Linked DNA regions of Macaca mulatta. The main gene of each other region encodes a partner of the protein of the gene in region 2 in a complex. Links are inferred from orthologs where the notes say so. Each region holds a gene or a part of one and is shown on either strand. Other genes may lie near its edges.

What was found. The genes of interacting proteins can lie anywhere in the genome.
Region 1: the proteins of SFN (region 2) and GBP1 are in contact, whole or in part, in a cryo-EM structure (PDB 8Q4L), measured with the Homo sapiens proteins. The link is inferred for Macaca mulatta from reciprocal best matches to the Homo sapiens genes SFN and GBP1. Residues at the interface, in NP_006133.1 of Homo sapiens: Glu14, Gln15, Ala16, Glu17; in NP_002044.2 of Homo sapiens: Lys210, Gly211, Thr212, Ser213.

The regions. Positions count from the first base shown.
Region 1 is NC_133406.1:151,528,256-151,531,415, reverse strand, and holds part of GBP1 (guanylate-binding protein 1), read right to left. Parts: coding exon 2,914-3,160; intron 2,287-2,913; coding exon 2,074-2,286; intron 1,313-2,073; coding exon 1,210-1,312; intron 973-1,209; coding exon 779-972; intron 1-778.
Region 2 is NC_133406.1:214,122,223-214,125,214, forward strand, and holds SFN (14-3-3 protein sigma), read right to left. Parts: upstream 1,406-2,992; 5' UTR 1,341-1,405; coding exon 594-1,340; 3' UTR 569-593; downstream 1-568. UniProt on the Homo sapiens protein: Adapter protein implicated in the regulation of a large spectrum of both general and specialized signaling pathways. Binds to a large number of partners, usually by recognition of a phosphoserine or phosphothreonine motif.

The sequences.
Region 1 (3,160 bases), about 63 Mb from region 2:
TTCATAAATTTAATTTCCTACTAGGTGTCACAGAAAAAAATAATCATTGTGGATTCCACTAAGTGATGAAGACAGCTCCAATGTATTTACTAGCTGTGTGAACTTAATTATTTATTCTTTTTGGAATGTTTGTTTCTTCTTTTAAGTAATAAGGATATAGTTCTTTCTTCATATGGTATTAAGCAAGAGATACAGATTTTTCTCTTTTTTTAGACGGAGGCTCGCTCTGTTGCCCAGACTGGAGTGCAGTGGCACGATCCTCGGCTCACTGCAAGGTCTGCCTCCCGGGTTCATGCCATTCTCCTGCCTCAGCCTCCCCAGTAGCTGGGACTACAGGTGCCCACCACCACGCCCAGCTAATTTTTTTTTTTATTTTTAGTAGAGACGGGATTTCACCATGTTAGCCAGGATGGTCTGGATCTCCTGACCTCGTGATCTGCCTGCCTCGGCCTCCCAAAGTGCTGGGATTACAGGTGTGAGTCACCGCGCCCGGCCAAGATACAGATATTTTAATAATGCCTGGCAGATAATAGCTACCTTGAATTGAAGGACATACTGATAAATGACTGAATGTTACACAACTGCAAATAAAAATCTTTTAGTGACCAGACTTGGCAGTAGCCAGTTCAGGCCGGACAGACAGGAATTGAAAAGTACAAGCAAGCAAGCAGGGTCCTTCCCCTGGACTTCATGTTCTCCCTGCCACACTAAGTTTGTGATCAGGGAGAATGGACAGAAAACAGAAAAACAGAAACCTCGAGGTGATGCAATTAGATACCTGAAGTTTAAGAGCGAGGGTCCTCTCTTGCTCTTTCAGCAACTGGGCCCTGTCCCTCTCCATCTTCTCAGTCAGTTGTTTCAAGTGTTCCTGATAACTCCTCTCCTTCTGTTCCATCATCTGCTCATTCTTTCTTTGCATTTCCTGCAACATTTTTGCTGAAGCCTGTGCAGACTCAGCTTTCACACGTTCCACTGTGGAGGAAAAGGAAGAAGAAAAATTTGTGTGGGGTTATCTTGTTGCCTCATTCTTCCTTCTACACTTACCTGTCGTTGTTGTTGACTGCAGATGCCCTACTCAGAGACGACCTCAGCAAATAAGACACACCTTTGTGGATCCTGCTCTAGTTAAACCGTCTCATGTTTATCTAGTCAAGTTATTTCAATTTTTAGAGCTTTTGAGGCCATCTAATCTCTTAACTCACTCCTCACCTTCAATCTCCTTTTCCTTCTCTGTGAGAGTCTGGTCTGTCTGTAGAATTGCATCAGTCATAGACTCCTTGGATTTCAAGTATGTCTGCAGAATCTCTTCAGCCTTAGGACCCAGAGAACACAGAGTGAGCAGTAGGAAATGGCTGGAAGCAGGTGTTCCTGTTCGTCTTCCTGCCATCCTTTCCTCTGGGAATTCTTCCTCTTGACCCTGTTGTTCTTGGTGACCAAATTCCCTGTCCGAGTGACAGGCACATGCTCCTGGCAAGCTGATCAGAGCATCCTACTTAGCAGTCATTTTTAGTAGGCTAATATAGATACTGGGAAAAAGATGGTCTCTGTCCTGTTTAGATTAAGGGCTCTAAGTTTGGAACTGGTAATGCTGTGGTCCCAGATGGGCTGAGCCTGCTGGGGAATGAAGCCATCTTTGAGAAAGCAAATATCAGAGTGACTCAGATAGAGGGAGGATGGGAGGGAGGAAACTGTGGGGATTTGAAACCTTAGACCCACCTGTCCTGTAAAGCCAGTTTGCAGCCTAAATCAATGAATTACTATTTTTGTCTAAGCAGCCATCATTAGGTTCCTCTCTCTTGCAACAGGAAAAGCCCAGCTGTAATGATGACAATAATAACTTTGTGCTTCATCTGGTAATTGAATTTATAACTCAATAGTTAATTGACTGTACTCTGTTTGATGAGCACCTAGGACATATTTGGTATAACAGTCTCTTTGCATTTGTTATTGAATAAAAGCATGAATGTTATGCAAACAAAAAAGCACACCTGTGTGCAACGAGACTTGGTCACCTTGGTGTTTGTAGGAGGCAGGTCAGCAGATTTCCATAACTGACAGATAAATCTTGGTTACCTGTATCCCCTTCCTTGGTTCCTCATGGTACTTTTTCTTCAGGTCTTGTAGCTTCTGAATAAAGAGACGATAGCCCCCTGGTTTCGAATAAATTCCCATCTTCACTTCTTCTTCTAGAGGACTGAAAATGTCCTGAAGTAAAGCTGAGCAACGACCTGATGATGCTTCCTGATTCTGTTTACAAAAGTCATCCCGCTTTTTTTCTAGCTGGGCCTTTAATGTAAAAATAGGAAGTAAAAAGAGTAACAGGGAAAAGGATGTGAGCTTGACCTCAGAATTTTGGGAAAGACTTCTGAAAATAAAAAGTCAATGACTCTGGAGAAACTGACAGACTCCTCAGCAGGAGCACACTCTTCCTCCTGACCCCACTTTCTACTGAAGTCGCTTTCTTTTTGGAGGTGAGATTCAGGGCTGAGATTGACAGCTTTATGGCAACCGTTAGAGGAAAACTCTGCTTTTGCATATTGGACTAATGATTTCATATGGAATAAATGTGGTTGATCAGAAGCGTGTTCAAGATAATTAGGATAAAAATTTTCTTTGTGTTTGGCTAGAATATCAAATCAGTCTGAGAAGAGTGGGCAGGTAATTTTATTAGAATCTCTGGTTGTCCGTTATATGCATAAGTAAAGGGAAAATTATTCAGGAAAAAATGTTTTAGAACTTTGGGTCTGTAATAATACAATTGGTGCTTCTGATTGATGCGATTACAAATCTGTTGTTTTCACCATTATGGAAGCTGGGAGGAATTACTTCTATCAGAATAAATACTCGTTTTCTTTCCTTTTCCTACTTTGGCTTCCATGATCCTAAACCGTGTAAATTTGAGACAAAAATTACCGCTAACTCTTTTTGAAATAGATGGTCCACATCTTTGAAGGAACTCCTGATGAAGACTTCAATGGCCTCTCTCTCACTGTCCCTGTGCAGGTCCAGCAGCTCCTGGAGGGTTTCCGTGGGCAGCTGCACCTTCTGGCCCATCTGCTGTTCGTAGTGGGCAACAGCCTTTTGCACTGCAGCTGAGTTCTCTATCTGGGCCAAGGCCAGGACTGCATTCTCCATGCAGGGCAGATCGCCACTGCTGATG
Region 2 (2,992 bases):
GCCACGCAGGGAGGTCAGGGCCCTAACTCAGAGGTCGAAAGTCAGGATCTCTAAATCAGATTCCAGTTCCACTCCCAACCCATCGCCAAGAACTGGAGAGAGACAGGAGGAGTGTCACAGGGGAACTTTATTGAGAGGAAACATGGTCACACCCAGCAGACATGCTTTCCTTCAATGTCGGTCTTGCACTGGCGCGCGCGCGCGCACACACACACACCCATCTCCAGCCCCTGCCACTGTCCAGTTCTCAGCCACAAGGCGGGACATTCCTCAATTCCTACGACCAGAGGCAGCAGGGGCAGGAGTGAGGCAAGAGGGAGGGGAGAAGTAGCCTGGTCCTGGGGTCGGGAGGAAGCGGTGCGGAGAGCAGTGCTGGGGTCATGACCAGTGGTTAGGTGCGCTCAACAGCTGCAAGAAGAGTGGGATCCCCAGCCCCAGGTGGCCTCAGCTCTGCCAGTCCCTCTCCACGGAGCCGTTTGGAGTAAGAACAGCGCCTGGGGGAGAAGGGTGGGGCCTCCCACCCCATATTAGTCCTCTCGGCAGGGTGGGGGACTGAAGGGGGCAGGGCAGGGTGGGGCGGTGGTGGGCAACACTCAGCTCTGGGGCTCCTGGGGAGCCTCGCCCCCCTCTTCCCCGGCGTTGTCGGCCGTCCACAGCGTCAGGTTGTCTCGCAGCAGCTGCATGATGAGGGTGCTGTCTTTGTAGGAGTCCTCGCTGAGGGTGTGCAGATCAGCCATGGCCTCATCGAAAGTGGTCTTGGCCAGCGAGATGGCCTCCTCGGGGCTGTTGGCGATCTCGTAGTGGAAGACGGAAAAGTTCAGGGCCAGGCCCAGGCGGATGGGATTGGTGGGCGGCATCTCCTTCTTGCTGATGTCCATGGCCTCCTGGTAGGCTGACCGGGCTGAGTCGATGATGCGCTTCTTGTCGTCACCAGTGGCCACCTCGGCCAAGTAGCGGTAGTAGTCGCCCTTCATCTTCAGGTAGAAGACCCTGCTCTCCGCGTCCCCAGCCTCCTTGATGAGATGGCTGTCCAGCAGGCCCAGCACGGTGTCGCACACGCCCCGGAGCTCAGTCTCCACCTTCTCCCGGTACTCACGCACCTCGGGGCCCTTCTCCTCCGAGCCCTCCTCGTTGCTTTTCTGCTCAATACTGGACAGGACCCTCCAGGCAGCCCTCTGGCCGCCCACCACATTCTTGTAGGCTACTGAGAGCAGGTTTCGCTCTTCGCAGGAGAGCTCCTCACCTTTCTCCACGGCGCCCTTCATGAAGGCTGCCATGTCCTCATAACGTTCGGCCTGCTCTGCCAGCTTGGCCTTCTGGATCAGACTGGCTCTCTCCATGGCTCTGGGGACACACAGGCGGGCGGCGGGCTAACTGCTGCCTGGGACCAATGCCGGACTCTGTGCCTCTCCTGCTCTTGGCCTGCCTTTTGGCTGGGTGGCCAGGCCCAGAGAAGGGTGGGGAGGAGCAGGGGGCGGGACCAGGGCCCAAGACCTGCCTCCGTCTCCTCTCCTCCCCACACCCTTTCCGGCTCTGCAGTAAAGGTAAAAAGGCTGGGATGTGGGGGTGAGTCATCAGAACAGTCAGCAGAAGAAATCTGGGCGTGGGCCCCACCTGCACAGGCACCTTTCCAGGCTCTAGGCTGCCCCCTCTTGTTCGGGGCTGGCATCATATGGCTGCTCACATCAGGAAACTGCCTGGCTTCTCAAATCAGATCCTCCTTCACAGCGCCCTTACAGAGGCTAAGGGCGGCTTTAGCCCCTGGCTGCTTCTGCCTCGACAGAGCCCATAAAGGTTCAGGAGGATGGGGTTCCCAATCCTGCCAGGTAACTTCTCCCCTTGATTCAGGTGAGGATAACTCATGTTTAGGTAGGGCCATAGAGTTTCCCAAGCACTTTCATATTCACCATCGAATTTAATCCCCACTGTGTCTCTGTGACACACACAGGACCACAGAGATGGGAACACTAAGTCTCAGAGAGGGGTGAGATTTGCTCAAAGTCACATAGCCACCACTTCCCTGAAACTCCTTTCTGCACCCTGCTTCCTTTAGCTTTTCTCCCGTTGAAGTCTCTGACCTATGAGCTCCAGGCTGTGTTTGGAAGTGAGATCCAGGCTCTTTCTCAATCTACCTGAAGATGGTTCCATCCCTCAGGCCTCACTCCCCCTCAGGGTCCCCTCTGAGCTCCCAGAATGCGCAGGTGGCAGCTTTCAGAGTGCCACTTAATGAAGTGTTTAACAAGCAGCCTCTGACGCTCCAGCCCAGCCTTTGTAATTAGTCACCCAGTAGGTTTGTTGTACACATTTCCCATCACTACACAATTTTCCCTTTCAAGTTGGTGGCCTGTTGCCACTTGTTTGAGGATTTACCCTCTGGCCCTCCACACCAGGTCACTTGCCCTCTCCAAGCCACATGCCATCAGGTACCAGTGGGGTTCACAGAGGGTGGGGTCCAGCTCCCCGGCTGTCCCACTTTCCTGCCTGACTCAGACTGCTCTCTGTCTGAGGCTGGGAAGCAGTCCAGTTTGATCCCCCAGGGGGGACGCTAGCAACCTGGGGAGAGAGAGGACTGAGAAAGGGAGGTGGCAGTGACACATACCATTCTGTTTTATGGGGCAGCAATCCCAGCTACGTGATGCCTCCCCCAGCCTGTCTCTCAGAAGTTTCCCTGTTCCTTCCTTTTTTTTTTTTTTTTTTTTTTAAATAGAGACAGGATCTCACTACATTGCCCAGGCAGGTCTCAAACTCCTGGGCTCAAGCAATTCTCCTGCCTCAGCCTCCCAAACTGCTGGGATTATGGGCATGAGCCACTTCCTTCCTTTTGACCATTACCCCACCTCTGACCCCTGGCAGAGTCCTCAGATGGAGACCTCTGTTGCCAACCTTCTTTCCCTGCTTGCTGGGGCCCTGGCCTCAAGTTTCATCAGGAGTTTCACCAAAGGGTGTTGGCATTGAGCCTACAGGGATGGATTCCTGCTTATCTGCCCCACCC